Xenopus tropicalis: one gene and its partners. The protein of the gene in region 3 purifies or fractionates together with the protein of the main gene of each other region. This does not show direct contact. Links are inferred from orthologs where the notes say so. Each region holds a gene or a part of one and is shown on either strand. Other genes may lie near its edges. The genes, in order: scfd1, napa, use1, rint1 and bnip1.

What was found.
Region 1: the proteins of use1 (region 3) and scfd1 purify together in Homo sapiens (affinity purification with mass spectrometry; 3 studies listed by BioGRID and IntAct, counting the BioPlex papers as one, with this or other methods). This does not show direct contact. The link is inferred for Xenopus tropicalis from reciprocal best matches to the Homo sapiens genes USE1 and SCFD1.
Region 2: the proteins of use1 (region 3) and napa purify together in Homo sapiens (affinity purification with mass spectrometry; 3 studies listed by BioGRID and IntAct, counting the BioPlex papers as one, with this or other methods). This does not show direct contact. The link is inferred for Xenopus tropicalis from reciprocal best matches to the Homo sapiens genes USE1 and NAPA.
Region 4: the proteins of use1 (region 3) and rint1 purify together in Homo sapiens (co-immunoprecipitation; 3 studies listed by BioGRID and IntAct, counting the BioPlex papers as one, with this or other methods). This does not show direct contact. The link is inferred for Xenopus tropicalis from reciprocal best matches to the Homo sapiens genes USE1 and RINT1.
Region 5: the proteins of use1 (region 3) and bnip1 purify together in Homo sapiens (co-immunoprecipitation; 4 studies listed by BioGRID and IntAct, counting the BioPlex papers as one, with this or other methods). This does not show direct contact. The link is inferred for Xenopus tropicalis from reciprocal best matches to the Homo sapiens genes USE1 and BNIP1.

Annotation. Positions count from the first base shown.
Region 1 is NC_030684.2:113,060,910-113,065,627, reverse strand, and holds part of scfd1 (sec1 family domain-containing protein 1), read right to left. Parts: intron 4,071-4,718; coding exon 3,980-4,070; intron 3,478-3,979; coding exon 3,404-3,477; intron 2,412-3,403; coding exon 2,330-2,411; intron 1-2,329. UniProt on the Homo sapiens protein: Plays a role in SNARE-pin assembly and Golgi-to-ER retrograde transport via its interaction with COG4. Involved in vesicular transport between the endoplasmic reticulum and the Golgi.
Region 2 is NC_030684.2:79,896,364-79,901,706, reverse strand, and holds the start of napa (alpha-soluble NSF attachment protein), read right to left. Parts: upstream 3,170-5,343; 5' UTR 3,147-3,169; intron 3,137-3,146; exon of another isoform or gene 2,880-3,136; intron 2,692-2,879; 5' UTR 2,679-2,691; coding exon 2,581-2,678; intron 2,389-2,580; coding exon 2,309-2,388; intron 2,188-2,308; coding exon 2,071-2,187; intron 1,421-2,070; coding exon 1,374-1,420; intron 284-1,373; coding exon 206-283; intron 1-205. UniProt on the Homo sapiens protein: Required for vesicular transport between the endoplasmic reticulum and the Golgi apparatus. Together with GNA12 promotes CDH5 localization to plasma membrane.
Region 3 is NC_030677.2:111,879,294-111,883,178, forward strand, and holds the end of use1 (vesicle transport protein USE1), read right to left. Parts: intron 3,795-3,885; coding exon 3,632-3,794; intron 2,241-3,631; coding exon 2,058-2,240; 3' UTR 1,131-2,057; downstream 1-1,130.
Region 4 is NC_030679.2:77,088,959-77,093,676, forward strand, and holds part of rint1 (RAD50-interacting protein 1), read right to left. Parts: intron 3,670-4,718; coding exon 3,428-3,669; intron 3,323-3,427; coding exon 3,149-3,322; intron 3,067-3,148; coding exon 2,917-3,066; intron 1,197-2,916; coding exon 1,040-1,196; intron 1-1,039. UniProt on the Homo sapiens protein: Involved in regulation of membrane traffic between the Golgi and the endoplasmic reticulum (ER); the function is proposed to depend on its association in the NRZ complex which is believed to play a role in SNARE assembly at the ER.
Region 5 is NC_030679.2:43,443,780-43,449,163, reverse strand, and holds the start of bnip1 (vesicle transport protein SEC20), read left to right. Parts: upstream 1-2,033; 5' UTR 2,034-2,063; coding exon 2,064-2,147; intron 2,148-2,226; exon of another isoform or gene 2,227-2,463; coding exon of another isoform or gene 2,464-2,493; intron 2,494-3,410; coding exon 3,411-3,503; intron 3,504-4,908; coding exon 4,909-5,000; intron 5,001-5,384. UniProt on the Homo sapiens protein: As part of a SNARE complex may be involved in endoplasmic reticulum membranes fusion and be required for the maintenance of endoplasmic reticulum organization. Also plays a role in apoptosis.

The DNA of each region.
Region 1 (4,718 bases), on a different chromosome or scaffold from region 3:
GATGATCCCAAATCAGTTTGAGGATACTAAATCATCATCATGTGGAAGGCCTATTATCCTCCACAATTAATACACAGGCAAAAGCAAGAAAGAAGAAGCAGCAGAATAGAATAGTGTGTAGGGACCAGCTTCAAACCAGAATCTAACTGCATGGACAGGCAGTATGAGGAAAAAGTGAAAGGCATGCAGCAACCATCAACACAAAACAAAAGCACATTATTCCTTAACACATTCTAGTCAGCTAGTCTAGACATTGGTAAACAGGGGTCCTTAAGCTTAATTGTACACTCTACTTTTAGAGCCCCATACAGGAGAATGCGCAGGACCCAGGACTGGGTAGATACAACCTATAGAGCACTAAGACATTCATGCAAAGTAAGGGAGCTCTCCACTCATCCCTGCCAGCAAAACATATATCCAATTGTCTACAGAGAAGAGCAAATCAAAATGCAGAGCAAGTGAAAACTGTAACACAACGTAGGAAGCAAGCTGCGAAATGCAAAAGGATGTCTGATTGTGGTCCTTTTGGCACCTTGCATGCTGAATCCTACATTGTAAATTATCTATTTAACAGTTATGTACCAAATGAACGTAAGCATAAATGGTTGTTTATCATGCAAAGCGCAAAAAAAGTGCTCTTTTTTATTTTGCATTTTGCACACTGCCTTTCGCTGTTACAGAGCTACCCCCACACAAAAACAAATCTGTCTGCATTTGGCATAACTGAATTTGTAAGGTGTGAGGGAGTGCCAGAGGATTGCAGGCTGTAATGGGGCCCTGTTTTTACTGCGAGTGACATTGTGGTCAGAACCTTTCAGAATGAGGGAAGAAATGCTTGCTGAATGAGCACTTGTGCCCCTTAGTGTTCTTCACTGCTTCCCCCAGTCTGTTGTAAATAAGCACTGTAGCCTTTTACAATGTTACCCATAATCTCTTACAACATAATGGTTAATATTATACAAATCACATCATCACAAGATCAAGAAGAGTTTCATATTGAATCTGATACTTTATGGCAGTATGTCAGTGGTCTTTATATTATTGTGCTTTTTCCCACCTAATTATAAAACTTTTTGTTCTGCAGTTTTCTCATTTATTAGCTGGATCTAGATGAGCATTAACTTACAAGACACTGAACTAAACTCTATTAACACCTACTTGTAATATAATATAATGCTGACTATTGCTGGGAAGTATAACTCAAAATATTACATCTATTTTTCTGTATGTATATATTCCATCAGTTAGAATTTACCTCCTTGTTTCTTGCTGTCTTGATCAGTCTCTGTCGCCTAGATGGATATGCCTAGCTTGTTATCTCCATCAGCCTCCTCTACTCCCTCCTGCTGTCTCCATCTGTCTCCCCCGCCTCCAGCTAAATATTATCTTTCTATATGCCCACAGGAATTACATATATACTTTATCCTTAACCCACGATAATGGTTTGGGCTGGATGGGCTACACAGTGCAGTTAATAATCCAAAGACAATTTTTAGTGAGACTTATGTGTCTTGTCAGGAAGTCACAAAGCAAGAACACAAAGGATTCTTTCTAAACAGCTTAATGTATTAAGCCTGTGGCACATCTGCAATGTTGAATTAATTACAAAGATGCCATACAATTCATGGAATTTGCAAATAAAGAAACAGAACCTGAAGACACGCACTGGCATGGCAGGAATTTCATGCTGCTCTTGAGTGCCCAAAGCCTGATTATTACGCTTCTGGGATTGAGCTGACATGTATACTTGACCAGACTCCCTGGGACATCAGTCATTAAATCCCAGGCAATAGTGTACTAGCCTGTCTGGCTCTGCCCACCTAATGACAAGCTTTTATGTCATGCCCACCAAAAGGAATGATAGTTAAAATGTCTCATTACATTTTTCACATACGTTCTAAAACTTCCTTGAATTTATTTATTTTTTTATGCACAGGCTTAACCCATAAGTTGCTGTCTGCATGTGCTACTAGGTAAATAGTTTTTCTATAGGGTTACATGTAACCTGAAAATGAAAACTACAGTACTAGTTTGTCTGTGTCAGTGTCCTGAGATGCACCGTGAAAGAAACCCAAGAGTTTTCTATGAAACCGAGACGATTGTTGTGCAGTTGGTTGTCAATTGTGTATGCACAGAACTGATGGCACACAAGTCTACTATGTCACCCGTGCATCATCACAGACCAGGGAGACCAGCACTACCAAGAGTGTTTGAGTGAGTCCTGGGCCATACTATAGCAGTTGTTGAATGGCAGGTTTCACTGGAACTAGCCAAGTGAGAATGAAACCATAAAATGATCAGTGGGTATGACTTTCTAGGAGAGTCTCACCTTGATATGTTCCAAGACTGCTGTAGCCACGTTGGTATGCAGATCTATTAATCTTTTCTTTTCCAGTAGCTCAGGAAGAGAGCTGAAAGTATAGAGAAGAAAAACTTCAACACGTGTTCATTCCTACCTATGCTAGGTATGCAGAACAGAAATATCATTACTTAACCCTGTCTTATGTGATTGATTTTATATGCATTCTTACCAACTCAGCATCACCATCCTTACTTACTCTCTCAATCACCATCTGAACCTTCATTTTATCATGATGCCATGAACTCCAAGCCAATATCTTTAACGATATAAGTATCTCTCATATTAACTCTGCCTTTTTGTCTACATCTTCCTAATCCATTCCTCACAGCCTTTATGTCTTCAAAATATTTATTATTGTGTCCCACCCAGTCACTGTAGCCTAGCACCACTGTACTAGCACTTCTGCACTCTTCTCAGTCTTAGCAAAGCTTATCATGCTGCCAGACACATCTACTGTTCTTATACAGGCAAGGGACCTGTTATCCAAAATGCTCAGGACCTGGCGTTTTCCAGATAAGGGGTCTTTCTATAACTTGGATCTATAGTCTACTAAAAAAAATCATTTAAACATTAATTAAACTTAATAGGATAGCTGGGATCAAGTACAAGGTACTGTTTTATTAATAATAATTCAGAGCTTTCTGGATTACAGGTTTCCAGATAATTGATCCCATATCTGTACCACCACCACCCCCTATCAATCCTCACAGCTTCCTGGTCCTCAAAATGTCAGTGCCCCATCCATCATTCTCCAGACTGTCAGCTTACTTCTTTAGCCATACTAGAAGAGACTCTCTTACCACAACCCCTTGTACTTCTTATATCCTCTAGCGCCATTCTGCCCCTTTATACCAGGTTACTATACTTAGTTTTCAACCACATGTTTAAGTAACTTCCCTTCCCTTTTCATGCTCTCTTCTTGTCCACGTTTCACTGTTATAGAGCTGTTTGAAAGTGGGCCTGAACACAGAATCTTTTTGCTCATTCTTATCCCATCATCAAAATTAAACTAAAGAGAGAAAAAAAAGCAACAGCACCCACCTGACGGCTGATGTTAGCTTTGCTGTATTGTCTGAAATCATACTGATAGCTCCTTCATCTTCTCCTTCTAAGCCCTGAGAAAACAAAACTAACCAACGTTAGCTGAGAGGTCATACTGAGCCCCCAGCCGGGCATGGTGGAAAGAAACAACGCTGCTCCTCCAGCACATTCTCTTTTGTGCAACACAGGTACCTCAGGGCTGGGGGCAGTGTGGGGGGCTTGTGGAGAGAAAGGAGTTCTTGCCTCAACTTCTGTACTAACACTGACACATTTGTGTGGATTTTCATAGGAATGTGTCCGTATTACCTTTAAACAATAGTCAGATACAACTGTAGAAGACATTAATATATTAATCCACATGGCATGAAAAGTTATATTTTTCTGCTTCCAGAGCAATCTGGCAATGACTCCATAGCAATTTAAATGCCTGCATAAACTTGCTTTCTATAATAAGGCACTACTTGAAATGTTACCCTAGTGAATATACTAATGTGCTAATTCTGAATGCAATTACACTGCAGGGGATTCATTTCCTTGAAGACTCAGGCTCACGCCAGGTTATATGTGGCTCTTTACCATGATGGTTTTCAGCCGCTTCACTTCGTCCTCCTGGGTTCGGTAAGATTCTAGCTCCTGTTGGACTGACTCTGCCACTTCTGGAAAGGGGCTATGGAAAAAGATATACAAATTATACAGCAAAAGCATGTGTTCCACTTTTAACCCTCTCATCACATACTTACCACCTGTTATTATTATACCAGTTCATTTTACACGTGCTTTACAGAACCTTGTCAGAGATTTGTTTCCCACATATTATCATAGTTATGAGTCAGGTTATGGTACCTCAGCTAAGCCCTCTTATCCCTCACACTCAATGATAAGCCACCACAGACATCCCAAGTAGCAGCGCAGCAAAAGTGTTATAGATAAATTGCAATTGATTCTGCTTGTGTGTTGGGACAGTTGCTCTAACCCTGGGAGTAATATCTAAAATCCCTACCATAAACCAACACAGGGCTGGTAATTGGTGTTTCCTTTACCTGTGATTTTAATGATTACATTTGCTTTGCTGTCACAAGGTTAAAGACATGGCAATGACCAAACCTCACCCTACTTGTTGCTTGCAGAAAATGATCATCTTTATGCAATGTTATACAATGTACAGAAAGATTACAAGTTACTGTCTAATTTAAAGTACCAGTAACATTAAAAAGTTTAAATGTTTTATTTACATTTCAAGTTTGTATTTAACTATCCAGCACCTACAAATAAACTATTTCATGGCAACAAATGCCCATTTTATATGAGAAAGGCT
Region 2 (5,343 bases), on a different chromosome or scaffold from region 3:
TTATTCGCACACACAAATATTGAGGTCACTGCATGGACAAACATTGTTCACTTAGTTTTACACTTATTTGAACCCTCCCATATCTCTGTGCAACCAGCATTTTAAGAGACCATAAAGGATAATTGTCGTGAAAGAGGGAGAGAGAGAGAGCATATGAAGAAATGGAAGAAGAGAAAGATTATATCTGAGAGAGAAAATAACTCACCTTCTCTATGTCAACCAGCTCTGACTCGTAGATCTCTGCTATGGAAATGTGATGTTTGGCGGCAATGGTGAATCTTCCCTACATGAAAAAAAACACAAGGTTTTTTTTTTTTTTTTTTTGATTGTTTTTTTATGCTCTTATTAAGCATTTGAAAAGTACATGGTGCAACATCATAAAAAAAACCAGATGAATAGGATGCTCATTTTACAATAAACCTAAACATAAACAAGAAAATTCAACATAAAACCCAACAACAAACATCAAATCTTTGAGGACCGCCTATGCAGGGGATACAGGGGAATGGCTCCCTCCACCATAGCTTCTCATGCTGCCACAGTTGGCCCACCAGGTGTCTTTAAGAATTGTGCAATTTTTCTGTGGGTTTTTTTTTTTTTTTTTTTGCATACATACATAAAATGGACATTTACATTTTTTTTTTCTCTATGAGGGGGGACAGCTCTTGAACCTGACTGAGCATATACCAGATATCCATTCTACCGGGTATATATTTTGCCACTTCCTCCCAGAAGTGCTGCACACAGGCCACAACAGCTGGATAAAGTCAGATGGTGAAAAACGACATCTGGGGCACTCTTGTGGGAGCTCCTGGTTTAATATTTGTAACGGTGGGGTGTATCCCTAATTACAGCATCAAAGGTTGACTCCAACACCTCCTCCCACAGTTCAAGTGTAATGTGGGGGAGATCCTGTTGCCACCTGGCATAGAGTTTGTTCAGAAGGGTACTGCCTGCCCTCACTTTTGCATTATTGATGTCTGCCTACTATTTCATGTTCAGAACATCCTCCAATTTATTTTTAGAGCTTTATCCTACAATTTCAGTCTGAATGTTAGTTTTAGATCGTTGCATTTAAACGTATGATCGATATCCGAACATTCATTAGAAGAGCATTTTTTTTGTTCCCTGCTACTTTCTGACTAAAAAAAAACCCACTTGTTTCCATAACAATTCTATTGCCCATTTCCCAAACACATATGTATCATTCTCTACAAACTGCATTTAAACACACCTTGATCCTTAGTCAACAAATATCTTACTAAACATCTTGCGTTCTTTTAGCCATATTCGCATTGTCACTCTGTTTGTGGTCAACTTAAGAAGTGATAAAGACCAAAAAAAAGCGGAAGATAGTTTGAAATTGTCCTTACCATGTCAGTGTAGATCTCTATTGCTCGAAGCAGACAGTTAATTGCCTCTGAAAACAATATAGATACTTGTGATCATTTATCAAAGTTATTATTGAAAAAGTTAAGCATTGCTTTATGTATTCTTGCAGAAAAGCCTTTATTTCATTTAATAAAATACCTCTAATAAAATAAGGCCTAAAATCACCTGGCATTTCATATTCAAGATGAATATATAAGAATATATTCATGTGCCTGGCTGTGCATGGCATTCTCTGGTCAAGACAATATCAGATCAGCTTGAAATGTGCCTGTTTGCATTTGGCGACCAGTGCTAGGATTGCTTTGATAGTAAAAAAATGCTGCAAATCACACCGGTCTATTTTGTCTATTATTAACAGTTACAGGTGAGGAGCACTGTATTCAGGAGCATCAAGACGGGGGAGGAGGGGGGTCTCTGCATTTTATTCTTCTTGGAGCTATCATTGTGGGGGTATTGCCACAATAGACAAAAAACACTTTTGTGCAAAACACTTATTTACACTTAGTTATTACAACAACCCACATTTCTGTGCACATAACTGATATAAATATGTTATCTTTGTGCATATGACCGAAAACAAATCAAAGGGGAACACTGGGTGCTGGTACAAACAGTTATTGATAGATAACTTTGAAAAAAAAAAAGACTCATTCAAGAGACAACTAGGACCTCTCTTACCCTGGGGGTCAGATTTCTTGAATGCATTTCCAGCATCCACAAAGTTAGTGGCTGCATCATGCTTGCTTTGAACCTGAAGATGGATCTGGGCAGCCTGGCAGAAGGCATTGCCAGCAGCTGGGAAAAAGAAGAAGAGCATCTTATTGCACTATTCCGAGGAGTATAAATATCTATATACCTATATATGGATATATGGAAAGTTTGTTACAAATGATTTTACAGATTACATACTACCTACCACTCCAGTTCTTGGCCATCTTAAACATGTTGGCAGCCCTGGCATAGAGGTCGCATGCTTCTTCCATTTTAGAGGAGCCTCTTAAATGCAGACAAACAGACAAAGATTACACACTATTCAAGTTATAAGATTAACAAAATGTAAAATGCTTTGTGTAGTGACAGCTACAGCGTTGTAAATGCTTAATATTACTAACACTAGTGACAGTTCAATGCTTTTGGTCAGAAACAGATTTTGCCCTGTTACCATGTAATTATTTCTAATTCACTTACCCAAACAGCCCTGAAAAGAATGACTGCGATGACTTCACCTTCTTGTCAGCCTCAGCCAGAAGCTGCAGAGCCTCCTTCTCCTTCCCAGAGTTATCCATGGTTGAATGGGGCCTGTCAATGATAATAACAATCAGAAAATATGGAAAATAGATGCCAATATAAATTATAAAAAAGAAAATATCTATAAATTCAGAAAAATTCCCCGGTATTAGATCAGAGACCATAGAATCAGCCATTGTAACATGGGCCTGGAATTACATTTTAGGAAAGTAGTTAATCTATTAAAGTTTTTCTATTACCGCAAGATGTTAGCCGATTCAGAGCGCTAACCAGAACTAGGAGGCAGGCAGCCAAGAAAAAGCTCTGCAAATGAGTGAAAGGCCTCGTAGAAAGCCGACGAGCTAGTAATACGAGGATACTCGCGGATAGAGACAAACAGGAGGCAGAGGCCAGGGATCAAAAACCCTTGAACCGAGAGACGGCCGAGGGAGATAATCGGGAATCAGAGAGCAGAAGAATAGGGCAAGCAGAAGGGAAAGAATTGTAACAGTGTGCGGGACGCTGACCTGATTTTGCAGGCAAATAATGACTGCGCTTAGTATTTCTCCGGATCAGCAGCTATGCTTCAGTGACAGCAAAACTTCCGCCCGCAGAACACATGATTATTCTGTTTCCGCCAATATCCGTGCCACGTGACCAAACGTTAGCATTCACATCCGCCTAGACACAGTCAGAAGATGTAGTTAGGCTTTTTCTGAGCGGCATTTAAAGGGAAAGATGTGTACTCCTTTTTAAAAATAATACAGACTGTAGTGCGTTGTTTTCTATTACATTATCATTTTTTTACATATGATCTTTTTTATGTTTTAGTTGTCCTTATCTTCGTGTAGTGTTGCATTTCATATTAAAAAAAACAGTGGTCTTCCGGGTTTGTTTGTTTTTAGCTTTTTGCCTCGCTATTGGCAATGTTTGGAACGAGGCATCATTTTTACTACCCTGGCGTTAACATTATTAGTAAGGGGGCAGCCTTTGTTCTGATTCAGCTAATACTGCTTATTACAGTAACTCCATGTTACCATTCTCTGCTCTCTAAGCATAAATGCGGTAGAGGTTAAAGGTCCAGGAAACAGTTTTTTTTGCTTATTGGTGCACCACCAACTATATACTTTACTAATGACCTGAAGGCCAAGTTAAGGAAAGGCAGTAAAGAATAACCCAAACTGCTTAACGTGCCTGGCAATGAGTTTAATATAAACTGCTCATACCTCCCAACATTTGAAAATGAAAAAGAGGGACAAAATATTTTGCAGCGCTAAGCGCGGCGAAATTTTTCTTGACCACGCCCACTATATGGCCACACCCCCAGATGTCCCATTTTTGCACATTGTCCCGCTGTCCCAGATACTTACTGAAATGTCCTGCTGTGTCTTTTAAGTGTCCTGCTCGTCTTCAGGTCTTTTTGTCTTCCTTTGGGTTTCCTTGGCTCCTTCTGTCACTGCTGTCTTTGGATCTTCACAGCTTCTTCCTGCACTTTTTTATTTGTTGTGGGTGCTGGTGCTGCTCAGGTCGTGGGTCACAAAAGTTACGCTGGTGCTGCTGTGCCTTTATCTACTACTGTACAAGCTCTACTTACTGCTCCTTTTTTAAAAAAAATAAGCTTGGTGAGTCCCTGACTGTAACAAGTGTTTATTAATTCTTAATAAATAATTAATATTCATTATTAATAAACACCTTTGTTACAGTCAGGGACTCACCAAGCTTATTTTTTTTAAAAAAGGAGCAGTAAGTAGAGCTTGTATAGTAGTAGATAAAGGCACAGCAGCACCAGCGTAACTTTTGTGACCCACAGCCTGAGCAGCACTAGCACCCATCCTGTTCGTTCTGAATTTTAAGTGAAATGGCTTGCTCAGCCATACTCACATCTCGCGAGACTTGCAGACAACCACAAAAAGGACCGAGATGGCGAAGCACCTGAAGGAGCCGGAAAGAGCCGAAGACAAACGCGCGGAAGAAGCCGTGAAGATCCGTAGATAGCGGTGACGGAATGAGCCGAGAAGACCTGCAGACGAGCGGGACTCTTAAAGGCACCGCGGGACATTTTGATAAGTATCCGGGACAGTAGGCAAAAACCAGGACTGTCCCGCGTAAAGCGGGACAGTTGGGACCTATGACTGCCTACCAATGGCATTGGTGGTTTTTCTCTCAAGAATGCAAACTTGAACATTCCAGTCAAGTACATTGAAGAATTTACACCTGCCTCAATGAGAATTATCGTGACTGGATCACATTTTTGCATCTGAATAGTTCGATGGATGTTGGTGACTGTATTTCCATTAAGAGTTTAAATGCCAGGTAATTCCCTACCTGTCGGCTGAAATTAAGAAGCCACTTGGTTGAGTGGTGAAACGTTTATAAGAGTACTCAGAAGTTGCTTTAGACTTATTTCTTCCAGATACTGTGTATCATGGCCTTCTATTGTGGTCAACCCCCTGCTTTTTAAACAGAAGCAGCCATTTAAAAATGCTATGGGAAAATAAGTCGTTCATCCATCCCGGTTTTTTTTCTGGCGCAAACTTACTTGAAGCTTGAATTCTTCCTACTGACCTTAATGGATTACATGAGGTCTGAAGTAATTTAAAATAATGGCATCAAATGCCATGTTCTGGCATAAAATAAAACACACACCTTTATAAATTGTCCATTTGTTTTATACAGTTTTTACACATTTTTTTTAATTTTTTTACACAGTATGATAAATAGGCC
Region 3 (3,885 bases):
TGTAAGTAGATTGGCAATCGGAAAGGGATATCACAACTGGGCACAAAAGGGTGATATAAGTAAAAGTCATCACTGGTGTTAAAAAGCACATGAGAGTGCACATTGTGAAGTAATAACAGTATTACACTATATTTTTTTTTCTTTTCCTCATAAGACCTCATGCTAAGTCTAAAGCAGAATTTTATTGAACTGCAACAACAGGAACAGAATTAGAAACTGTATTTAACTGTGCTTGGTGCCCGTCTGCCTTTCTCCACCAGGCTCTTCTTTTCTTTTCTCTCTCTTTTCTTTTTATCTTATCTTTTCTTATTGTAATGAATGTCTATTTAAAAATCTTAAATAAAAACTTAAAAATATATATATTTTTTAAGAGCGGGGAGAATAGGGCCCCTGCTATTTAGCCCTAAATACATACCTATTGTGCTTACCCCAAGTTCTGAGCCTGAATATCTTTACAATCATTTTCCCAGCATAAGATACAATTTTTGACAGGGGGCAGTGGCATGTGGCCATTCCCTGGTATGCTCCCCTAGCTTACACATCATTCACTTTGCTGAAATTGGAAAGTGTCAGGGGACACAAGGTGCTGGGTGTCTGCCTATGGCATGCAGAAGGTTTAGGCCATGTTTCTGGAAGTGACTCATGTTAATCAGAAAATGTATAAGTGAAACATCAACCCCTTTTCTCGGATTTTACACTATGTTTTCCTGGTCCCCTAAAAAAGTTAAAATGGGGGTTCGGCTGTAGATACAATTCAGTTGTATGCAATTGTAACCATAATATTTACATAACCCTGTAGATATGATTATGGCATCCTGCGACTCCTAACTTTCACACTCAGTTTAGAAGTGCATATTACCAAAGGTCCTGAATTGCAGAAGAACAGTTTCCCATAGCAACTAATTGACAATTAATTAACTACCAATGAGGAAATGAAAACATAGATTTTATTAGTTGCCATAACAACTGCACTGGCACAGTTTAGCATCTATCCTAGTAAATTCGCCCTAGCTTTTTCCTTAGGTGAATAGATATTAGAGATACTGACCCAACTGACTTTGTCCTACGGTGAAAAAACAAAGCTTCTCTAAAATGTGGGATTAGCAAAGATGACAAAAAGTACAAAGAGCTCTGTAAGAACTGTGTTTGCTTTATTAAAATGTATGTTTACTTTCTGTTTCAATTGCTTTTTCAGACCTCATTGAAAAATCTTCAATTTTGAAAAGGAGCTGTCTTTACAAGAGAGGCATTTGCCTCTGCATAAAGGTGACCCTGTCAATGGTGTGTGCATGCTGTCTGTGATATCATCCCGAATATTGTAGCAGGCAAACAAGTGAACACATTAGGAACTGTGATTCACTGTTACACTTACTTTTTAGAGCACTCACAAGCAAAACATGTGGGATTTCAATATTCACATCCTGTGAGCCCTGTAGGTATCCTTCTCAACTTCAGTAAAACTGCCTGGCACTGTGAAAACAGCAAGTGCTGTAAAGCTGTCTTCAAAGGCAGCATCCAAGGAACTTATGTTTGCCTGCCAACACCTTTCTAAGGAGGCGGTAATCATTATGATAAATGCCTTTCTACAAAGTAAATATTAAACAGTTGCATTTTATTTAATAAATACTGTGGTTTCTATGAAGTTCATAACGTAGTTCAATACAGAGGAACCAATGCTTGGATCTGATAGCTTATTAATTAAGCTATATTGCTTTTGGCATAAACAAAGAGAGTGAAATGGAATGTTTTGTAAATAAGCTAAGGACAAGTTTCCTGAAATTTAAGATAAGGTCATATGGTTTTTATTTTCCTGTGGCATCACTTGCCAATACTGACAATGAAAGTTTCTCTATGACACACCTGTATAACTGGCATCTGAAAGCAGGCGCCCAGTTTTTAGATGACCTTAGGCTGAGGTGGCACTCTTTCTGCCATTCCATTTTCCACTATGAAAATAGTGGTACTATCTGCAGTAGTAAACGCAATGCAAATTCCTTTTGGAAATTTGTTGCTTGTGTCTTGAGCAATGTACTATGAATGCTGCTTAGCTTTAACTGTCACCGCAACCTGGGAAATATTCTGATAAAAAGAATCATGCTAATAAAAGTGAAGCAGACAAAGATGAGCATAATCCAGAGAATCCAGTTGACAGACTTCTTGGCATGCTGCTCCAGGCGGTCTGATTCTGTCTTTAGCTTTTCAAAGTTCTGGTCAGCCAACTTGATAGAATGAGACAGTGTCTACATAGGAGAGGGAATGAGTGAGAAAGAGATGTGAGAATCACAATGAAACAAGTGAGCAACAAACAAAGTGGCAAAAGTCAAGGTAGTCAAACATTGGTTTCATTTTGGTTATTCATCTAATCAGACCAGAGGTCAAGTGTGGAATATTATGGCACATTTACCTCTGCAAGCGCAATGTGCAACTTGCCCTTTTTTCTCTGCAGTGATTAGTGCCCAAAACCACTTTCATTAAAGGTACTTGCATCAAAATATGCTCCTTGCACTTTCGTGCTCAGTGGCGCTCAGTTATTCCTGCCTTCCATTCTGAACAGGGCACTGCTGTGCCTAGTTACTTAGAAGAACCCTGGAGTTAACACCACCTTCTGACTAGGCGGTGGCTCCAGGGTTCCATAAGTGGCCTTTGCTAGGTAAGTGAATGTGCCCTATCGTATGAATTGGTCATGTATTTGGATATCCTTATTGCATTGCTCCAATGGATCTCAAGAAAACTGAAAGTAGGTTTTTACCCATGCCCACACCCATTTTACCGATGATAGTAAACCCCTCCATCCCAAACCCACATTGACTCGTCTAACTGTTATCAGCTAAGCAGACTGCATGGCATCCCAAATCATCCCTTCTTTGGGTGTTCAGTTCTGTGCTTCTACTGACATATTAAACTTACCAATTGTGTTTTCATCTGCTAATTTAAACTGGTAGACACTGTAGATCAGCCCACATAATATATGTATGTATGTATATCTTTATTTATAAAGCTCTACTTATGTACACAGTGCTGTACAGTAGAATAGATTAATACAAACAGGGGGTTATTAAAATAAAAGATAAAAACAAAGTATAACAATAAATACAAGTAAATACAAGATACAGTTGCAATAAGTTAAGAGTCAAAGAGACAAGAGGATGGAGGTCCCTGCCTCATAGAGCTTACAATCTAGATGGGAGGGAACATAAGCAAACTTTACATACTAAATGACATTTGTCGTTTACCATTATAATGTTTAGGGAAATATTTCAGCAGTGTAGAAAATATGCGATTCAATACATAGACTGATCTCTGAACTAACAAGTAAATTGTGACCTATTATGACACACATACACATTTTACTATCAAAAACTACATTATTTGGGGCTTTGCTAAAAATAAGAATAATGATGCAACAACTACCTCTCATGAAGGAGACACAAGGTAAGACTGAGTAAAAGGCAGGAAGTGAGCGCTATTTGAAGGATATTGTTTTATGAGGAATGACACGCAGTATCAAGTATTGGATTACCTGTGTAAGTGTGGGTTCCTGATAACACCATAACACAGTTGGCTTTACTAATGCCTGATGAATGCAGGCAAAATAAGAGTTCTGGAGTCTGGTCTTATTGTTCATATGTACCTGGTTATCCTGTTTAATAACATTCTGCGCTGCCAGTGTGTTGTTCTTTAGGTTTTGGGTGAGACGTAGCATTTCCTCGGCCAGTTTCTCTTGTAGATTATGATGATGCTGTAGCACTGCATCAAGCTCAGCCGCAGATTGCTTGTCATCTGAAACAGAGCCTCTGTTTGGGAGAAAAGAATGTTACTGTTGTACATGGGGTGAGGATAACAGAAGACAAATCAAACCTAGGCCAAAATAGGTATCCTTTGGTT
Region 4 (4,718 bases), on a different chromosome or scaffold from region 3:
GTGATGCACAACACAGGTCATGTAATAGTTGCTGAACTACAGTTCTCAAAATATCCAGCAGAAATTGTAAGGCTGCAGGGTGAACTGAGTGTAACAGCACTTTTATGCATCTAAATTCCTTTGGATAAAGCATTACTCTAGGCCAGTGCTGTCCAACTGGCGGTCCGCGACCCCCCTCTGTGTGGCCCCCCACCTGTCTGGCTGCTTTGATGGCTTACTCTTGTGTAAACTTTAAATGGTATCAGTACTGTGATTAACTGCCCCCCCCCCCCCCTGCATGGTTCTCACCTCAGATTCAGGCTGTAATCAGGCTGTATTGTTTAAATATGTAATCCCCTGTGTTGTTCACACCTTTTAATCTCTGCATTGTTCACCCCCTGCAGTGTTCACACCTCAGGCTCAGGCTGTAATTACCCCCATTGTTCCCCTGTTCACACCTCAGGAGCAGTAGGCACACACAGGCAGGGTAGGGTAGGCAGAGTATGGCACACAGGCAGGGTAGGGCAAGCAGAGTATGGCACACAGGCAGGGTAGGGCAGGCAGAGTATGGCACACACAGGCAGGGTAGGGAAGGCAGGGTATGGCACACACAAAGGCAGGGTAGGGTAGGCAGAGTATGGCACACAGGCAGGGTAGGGCAGGCAGAGTATGGCACACAGGCAGGGTAGGGCAGGCAGAGTATGGCAGGTTTTTGCTGTACTACAACCATTAATATGGGTATGGTCATGTGATAACATGGGTGTGGTTTCAAGTGGGTGCGGTTTCAAAAAGGGGAGTGGTCAAAACTGGCATCCATTATCGGCCCTCCACCACGTAGGTCGGAAAAATTCCGGCCCTCGGTACAACAGAAGTTGGACAGCACTGCTCTAGGCAATAAACATATCACTTTTGTTAGCTAAATAAAAAAGGTTCTTGTGTACATAACCTGCTTAATCTAGAATTTGATTTAATAAACTTAATACAAATTATGCACTAATCAGTGCCAAAACCACAGGATTAATTACAGTGTGTTTGCAGAACTAAAAAAACAAATTCTTACCTTGCTTAAGACATTGGTTTGTTTGTTGCCTGTAAAATGATAGCGGAACCTCTTCTGCAGAGGGGAAAGCATGATCTGTATGGGAAGCATTATAGGAGGTAGTGCAGGAAGGGAGTATTTCTCTGGCATCTCTTTAGGTTTTGTAATTAATTCATCGCTAGGTATCAGTATTAAGAATTTAACAGTGATTGCTGGTAACAAATTATCACAGGGAAAATATATACTAAAGATACACACAAGTTTTCAGTCTTTGGAGTATTGTTTTAGATCTTTCAAATAGGGCCCATTACCAACATGAGGAAAAGGTGCAGAATGCTTATATGCAATTTCTTTGCCCTCTCTGCATGAAGCTCAAGGAAATTGAACCCTGATGTTACATCTGATTAGGTGAGGCAAGAAGTACAGGACTTGGCTGCTTTGCACTCCCCTTCTTCATATTCTCTACAATGGTGCAAGACACAAGAACTATCTTTATTGTGTGCTGATGGAGCAGTTTTGACATAGCAATTGTGTCTGTTAGTAAATGAGCCCTAATATGTTTTCAAAAGTTTAATACCCACAGAAACAAAGCAACAGTCAAATAACACCAATGCATTGTGTACGTGACATTCCATGCACTAAGCTACTAGGAAATGCCCTAACCTGTAAACAAAACAGGGATTGTTTGTTCATATATTGCAACATATTCACACTGACCAACTACTTCAAAGTCGTGCCGGTCTGGCCACTGCTACACTTACTTTTATCTCATTCATTAAGAATTCTGCAGCTTCAATATACATTTAACAAAGGAACTGAGTGTCATCTTCAACTTGCTTGCATTCAAGGTTAAAGTCCCCAAATGGTATTAAATGTTCTATATATAGTGAATAAAGTACCCCTTACTGTAAAATATGAGGATATAATAAGTCAAAGAGGTTGTGGAACTCCGAGGTGACTTCTAATTTCCTCATATTTTACAATAGGGGGTACTTTATAGAAAGTACATCACAAAGCACTGTTTATATAATAAGTAAAGTACCCACAATTGTGAAATATAGGGATATTATAAGTCACCATGGCCTTTGGCCTCGTGCTTTTATCTGGTCATGGAACTCCAACGTCACTTCTAATACCCTCATATTTTACAATAGGGGGTACTTTATTATAATGTACAAGTTTCAGTGAGTCTTATAACAGAAATGACTTCACTAAGCTCCGATTATAACTGATGATATCACTAAGCACCACTTATAAAGGATATAATTTACAGTTTGGTCCCATAGGGAAATGACCAAACTGTATATTATAAGGATATAATTTACAGGATATGCAGGCCTCGTTTATTATATATTGAAAATAGGTAAGTGCAGAGGACCTCTTGTTTCTGTCTATATTTTGTAATCACAGCCTCATTGCACCCCTGCCTAATGGGTTAAAATTTAGTGGTGAGCACAGCTTCCCCTCTTTTGCTATAGTGTAATTGACAAACATGTTGCTTTAGGCAACATCCTACATTTTGAGGAGCAGATTTTTGTCTTTAATAAATACAGTTCTGTGCCATGTGAACAGCATTGCTGTGTAGCAAAGTTTCTCAATCTTTTTTCAATAATTCCTGCTGGCTATGAACCCAGACACTTCAGGATTTCCAAGCAAGTGTGACTGATGTTTGAGTGTGCATTTTCTCTAGGACTGGAACACTCTAATCTTCATCAAATATATTAGCTGCAAAGTGTTTTAATATCAGTCACTCCATTACCTTTCTTGCCTACAATCAAATTGGAATTTGTTATTCTCTCTCTCTCTTGTTGGTACATCTTTTTGAGTATAAAAGTATTATAAATTACTAAATAAAAAGTTTAGCGATCAGAGTAGTTTCTATCATTTGGCAAGGATACGAAGTTTGAAGTTTGAGAAGTTGAGAAAAGAGAGTCTCAAGATTAGTGTAGATCTCTGCTACAGTGGCCGACACAGGAGGAGCAGAGGCTGATGATAGAAGAGGACCAATGAAAGGCCAGTGCAAATTATTTAACACTTCTTCAAAGTCGCTGAAGAAATAAATATAAATACCTTGTTTAAACACAGTAAAAAGTCCCATTATAGTATTACTTTATAAAGTTTTTCCCCTACCTTGTCAGTTTATCTTTCAGAATTTTATGCCAAAACTGAACTGTAGACTTTATAAAGGTCAATAAATGGGAACAAGAGGATTCCTGAAGCTTTATGGCCAATTCTGCCATACATACCAGTGTGCTGGCAGCCTCCGCAACATCATTCGTCATGAGATGCTGCTGGATGTTATCACTAAGAAATACAATCAAATAATAAGAATTACCTACTTAAATAAGCAAAGCCCGTATTATTTAAGGCTAGTTTTTAACGGCACTGCTACAGTAGCATTTTTGATACCTGAGTTCTTCTATTTGTGAGATCCATTTCAGGTAGGAAAGGTATCGTTCAACCTCTTCCATTTGATTGATCAGTACCCCTAGATCATCCATCCATGGTGCAGCTTCTTCAAGGTGCACACTAATGGATTCTGTCACTACAATTTCTTTTTGGAGTAGAAGATCAAGAGAAGTCTTTGAATCTTCAGCATTCTTTAAAGCTGCCTGGATTCGTTTAGGAGCCTCAGAGGAAACAGTAAGAACCTGGAATTAAAAACAAACAAAAAAAAAAAGTTTTTACAAAAGAAGGACTATGCCATATGAATGTGAACACTTTTGGGTATGGAGACAGTGATAGAGACATGGAGACACTTCATGGATAGAGCTATGCATTTTAACAAACCCTCTGCATTCCAAAGACTTGCTTAAATGTAAACTGAAGACTGCTGAGAATTACATCTAAAACCCTGAAGTAATTTTAAGTGAGCTCCTACACTGTAATAAAATGAGGGCGCTACCATTTCCCGGAGATGCTTTAGTTATTGCCAGTGCAAAAATAGCACTGTTACTATGCAGTTTTGCAAGGATTTTTTTTGAAAGGAAACCAAAAACAACGCCTTGAAAATATATGTATTAACCTGTGATGAGCTCCAGATGGCCTTATTTATGAGGTGATGTTGTGTTACCCTTAGCAATTATACATATTAATCAAGGATGAGTTGCTGAAATGATGAGAAGCATTTGCCGTCACAGGTTGCAATGATAATGTGCAACGCAAAGGAGATCTGCCTGGAAGAAAGCGGCACTTGCATTAAGGGAAGGACGTGAGCATGAAAAGTGACATCCTGCTCTGCACATTCTGGAAGTGATGGGGGAAGTAACGCTGAAGATTGGCACGTCAAATTTTGGACTTTCTGGAGGGTATATATTACTAACACTTTGTCAATGTAAGTTGCCTGCACCTTTTGCATGTTTCCCTGACGAAGACCCCTCGTTGTAAGGGCCGAAATGTGTTGGGTATTTCTATGTGTGGCATTAATAAATGATAAAAAAAAGGTTTATTTAAGAGTGCCCTGTTTTTTGCATTTGTGCAGCTTAATACTGCAAGGAAAACTATGGTTGGAAAAGGAATAATTTTTAAAAGACAAGATTGACATAAAGGGCTGATTCCATGTTCTAATCCTCTGAAAGATCAATACTTTGGGTGCAGGTTGGAAAGCAGCTTTTGATGGTCAGGTGCATGTTAGAAGAGACCTGCTAATTACTAGTAGGAAGGTTTTGTCACTACTTGATGGGATGACACCCCAAATCAC
Region 5 (5,384 bases), on a different chromosome or scaffold from region 3:
TTCTCCTTCCTCCGGTGACGTCACCGGTACGAGCCGAATCCCAAAGTACGGGTCCTCCCTAGTGTCAAAAAGGTCCGACGCGTTGGACACGCCCCTGCCTTAAAGACTCTACCTCTACGTATTCCTTTACAGAATTATTTGCTAACACTGACCCTGGATGGGTAGCTTTCTTTCACCTGCTGCAGCACCACCTTCGCAGTGCTCCTAGGTAAGTGATGCCCTGGATTGGCACAGGTACAATAAACAGTCCAACAGAGACAAAACAGCACAGGCATTTGCCCCCTCCCACACTTAATAGACTCTGGAATGTGATGCCAAGCCAAGGGCAGCAAGTCACTAAAAAGTCATAATCATAAAATGCACTATGTTTGCCCAGGATCAGTAACTCATAGCAACCAATCAGCAGGTAGATGCACTGGTCAGCTGTTTAAAAGCAAACATCTTATTGGTTGCTATAGGTTACTGCTACAGGAAAAAAGTTGTGCCTTTTAATACATATGTGGGTATGAACACTGTTATAGGAATAGTTCAGTGTAAAAATTAAACTGGGAAAAATAGACTGTGCAAAATATAAAATATTTCCAATATAATTAGGCAAAAATGTAATCTATAAAGGCTGGAGTAAGCATATGTCTAACATAATAGCCAGAACCTGACTTCCTGCTTTCAGCTGTCTAACCTCTTAGTTAGTCAGTGACTTTAGGGGGGCCCACATAGGACATAACTGTTCAGTTAGTTTGTGAGCAGGCAGGTCAGATTCAAATGCAAATTAACTGAACAGTTATGTCCTATATGGCCCACTCAGGTCACTGATTGGTTATTGATTGCTAACAGCTTAGAGCTGTTCTGGCTATTATGTTAGACATCTGCCCACTCCATTTTCATTTTTACACTGAACTGTTCCTTTAAGATAGTCACAAGGAAAATTATAGACTAACCAGGCAATTATTTTAAACAAAGGAGCACCGGGGGAAGAGGAAAAGGTAAAGTACTGCATGGCAGGGCAGAAGCGATAAGAGGTGGGTTGGGAACCATACAAAATAACCCCAACATTATTTAATTTACTTGTGCCAAGAATAACTTTCTTCAGTTTTAGAATAATACAGCAGTGAATCATCAAGCAGCATTTACTTTTCTGGTCTTTAAAATTAATTATCTGATTGGTTACTAGGGGTATTTTTGTAATGAAAAAATGCAGAAAGTTGGCCAGTCATGTTTGTGCCCAGATGTGCAGCTTTCAGCCCCAGAAACATCCCTCTCAAAAGGGAGTAAAATAGATGATAGGTTCGGGACAGGTAATATTCTGAGCCCCAGATGTTGCAGAAAAACAACCACCAAAATTCTGTCCTCCCTTATCTGAACCACTGGTGGGAGCTGAGGGTTGTAACTATAGATCACTGAAGTACCATGGGCTCATGCAAAGCCTCCTATAGTTCTCCTTTCCACAGCCACATACTGCTGCCCTTACTGTACTGTACCCTTTCCACTCATACCCCGAAATATCTATTATTTTTATTATTAACAAGCATTTATAAAGCTCCAACATATTCTGTGTTTATGTACAGCAAAAAAGGGTCTCTAATGTCATTCAGCAGGAAACCCCATAGTCCAGTCTAAGCCTGTTTACATTTGAAGTTGACTGTTCACTTGCTTTAAGGGTGAAGACACACAGAGCTACTTAGTAGCAGCTAATTGTCACAGCTACTAAACGCCAGAAAATACCCTGACATAGACAATACTGAGAATTACCTCTGCCACATAGAGACAATTAACAGTAAATGATCAGCATTGTCTATTTCTGTAGCCGTGACAAGTAGCTGCTACTAGTAGCTCAGTGTGTCTTCACCCTAACACCCCTTTGAACTGAGCAGAACGTTTCTTATTGTGTGCGTTTTCCCAAAAGCACCTCTAGATGTCTCTGTGCCCCCTCATCGCTGTCCATACGAGCAAAGAAATTACCTCTCCATACAGCAGATGGCGCAAAGGTTTATTTTTGTCTTAGTCAGAGTCATCGGTGCATGGTATTTTGTCCCATTCCGCGCACCGTTGTTAAGCCTGTCGCGATGGCAGATTCGCAGGATGTCCACGTCCGAATTTGTCACCAGGAAATCGTTAAATATGACCTGGAGATCAAAGCGCTGATCCAGGTAACGCAGTGGGGTGCTGAAGGGGTGATCGCCATTAATAATACTGACTTTCTACATGCAGGAGGCAGTAGGGAATTCAGCTTACCATTAAGGGTCCGAGTTTGTAATATTCCCTATGCAACGCCACCTAGCGGCAGGCCGAGCTTACGTACCAGTTCCGAAGACTCCAAACTCAATGGTTTATGTTTGAATGCGGACTGGTGTAGCGTTACCGGCATGTACTGATAGTTCCCTACGGTCACAGCCTACTGTATGGTTTGGTTAACAGAGCCTGGCAGTTTTATTTTCCTAAATTATTACATGGGCTTCCTGCTACATGTTCCATGTACTGCACCCTAACAGTTATGTAGGTATAATACATTTAACTGGCTGATAACTGAAATAGCTATAATGCTTTCCCAGCTAATGAGCAGTGCTGCTATCAGTACTCATAGGCTCTATACTACTGAGTTAGCAGGGGGCCTCAAGTTTAACCCTCAAGTTTAACCCTTCTGTCATCTGGGCCATTATGAACCAGAATTAACACTGACATTAGTTGTTACCAGTGGCATAAAATAAGGTCAGGCTTCCAAGCAAAAGACTTTTCCGGGCCCTCACATGTTGGGGTGAGAGCCACTTACACCCTCGGCCACATAGTGACCACCACCTTCGCCTCCATGCTTGCAGAGCCAGAAGTAGCTGTAACCATACAGCAGGCCATCTGGATATCTGTATGCTAGTTAGCCAGTGAATGTTAGTATATCTTAACCAAAATGTCAAAATATCAGCACCCAGTAATCAAGTCTTTGTCACCAGTAATATCTTTGTATAGAATAACTTCCTAAAGCTGATACCTCAAGAGAACTGAATCCAAGTGATTTTGGTCACACTTATGGCACACCAAGCCTGGGATTCAAAATAGGCCCTGGCACTTCAAGTACACAATGTCCCAAACAGTGTCTGTCTATGGCTTCTTACAGCAGCCCCTCTGGCATTTGCCAGAATCCACAGATTGCCAATCTGGGCTTTTTGCACACCCAACCACAATTTATTATGCCTTGACTACACCCACTTACAACCCAACTTTATCCTTGGCTGGAGGCTGGTGGTTACTACCAGCATATTAACTGTCATTTTTTAATGACGTTTGCTAGGCATCTCATGTGCCACTATGTCATTTCAGTTTGGGAACAGCACAGCAGATGGTACTTTCTCATTGGATCCTTATCCCCCTAGCTCTTCTGTATTGTATGTAGACGTTTTAAAATGATTTGTCTTTTATAGGACATCAGAGAATGCCCTGGTCCTCTAAGCACCCTAAATGATTTCAATGCTCAAGTCAAGGAAAAATTCCACCTGCTGAGGCTGAGAATACAGGTACATTGTGTAATTTAGTAAAGACATTGCATTTTTGAGGGAAAAACTGGCTAGGTAATTAGAAATTCTTAACCACAAGAGAGGTTGATAATAAGTAATTGGGGCCTCTGCCCTATGATTAAACTATATTTTAAAACATTAAAAGTCCATTTACTGCCTATAACAGGGATCCCCAACCTTTTTTACCCGTGAGACACACTCAAATGTAAAAAGAATTGGCAACACAAGCATGAAAAATGTTCCTGGGGTGCCAAATAATGGCTATAATAGGCTATTTGGTAGCCCCTATGTGGACTGGCAGCCTACAGAGGCTTTGTTTGGCATTATATTGGGTTTTTATGCAACCCAAACTTGCTACCAAGCCAGGAATTTAAAAATAAGCCCTTGCTTTGAGGCCACTGGGAGCAACATCCAATTGTTTGGGGAGCAACATGTTGCTCATGAACCACTGTTTGGGAATCACTGGCCCATAATATTGGGAGCCCTCAAAGCAAAGCATATTATTCGCTCAGAGTTTTTTTCTAAGCACTTTTGCAAAGTACATTTTTTCTACTTTCTCAGTTATTAGAAGTTATTTGAAGTGCTGATTATTTTAGGCCAATGGGCTAAAAGTGGCTAAAAATGAATTTCCTGAGAAAAGAAACATTTTAAGGTGTTGCTCTCCCTAGAACTGATCACAGAAACACCAGAGACTCCACTTTCTAAGCAGAGCATCATTACAAAATGTTTCTTATCTCAGGCAATTCATTTTTAGCCAACAGTAGCCAGTCACAGTAGCCAGCCAGCTGAAATATCCAGCAGGTGGCGCTGTTGTTTCAAATATGTTATATTAGCCCAGTGATCCCCAACCAGTGGCTCGGGGGCAACATGTTGCTCCCCAACCCCTTGGATGTTGCTCTCAGTGCCCCCAAACCAGGTAGTTATTTTTGAATTCCTGACTTGGGGGCAAGTTTTGGTTGAATAAAAACAAGATTTCCTACCAAATAAAGCCCCTGTAAGCTGATAGACTGCATAGAGGCTCCCTAATAGCCAATCACAGCCCTTATTTGGCACCTCCGTTAACTTTTATGGTGCTTGTGTTGCTCTCCAAGTCTTTTTACATTCGACTGTGGCTCATGAGTAAGATAGGTTGGGGATCCCTGTATTAGCCATTTCAAAACAGCTAATCTCTTTAAAACTAAAATAAAAATAATTAAAAGTAGTTCTAAGAGTACTTTGCACAATTTTATAGTCATTTGTCTTGATGGATTACAGTACTTGTTTACTTGCTTGGATTTACAAAAAAAAAAAAACATTTTTGCATGAATCATTGCTCATCACCAAAAGTGATCACCTTTAAAGTCATCCAGGTAATAGTTTTCTAAACCTATAATTGGTGATATACTTCTTTGTTATTTTGGAAAAGGATTTTGAACAGTTGGCTAAGGAGCAGGATAAGGAATCTGACAAGCAAGCATTGCTGAAGGAGATGGAGTGCCACAAGAAACAGATGTTAAGGTGTGTATGGTCTGCTGCTTACATCTTGAGCTGTGCGAAAAATGGCCCCATAGCTTAATAAATAAATGTTATATAAAACAGGTGAAGAACTTTTCTTGCTTGCCTCTCAATATGTTTACAACACAAGGTTAATCAATATTGCTCTGTAGTTGTCCTACAAAGCTGTCCTGCAGTTGCTCATACATGTTTTGGCTGAGACATACTCTCTCTCTGCTTTCCCATTAGCCCACATGTTGCTGGGTGAATTCTAAGCTCCCCAAGGGAATTGTTGGTCAGTGACCAGTACTACACACAGTTCTACTTTAGTGAAAGGTGGCTTTGTGGTATTTTGCTGTGCTAATTAAGGCTGGGAATCTTTGTCAGAGACCCAACATCATGGGGAAC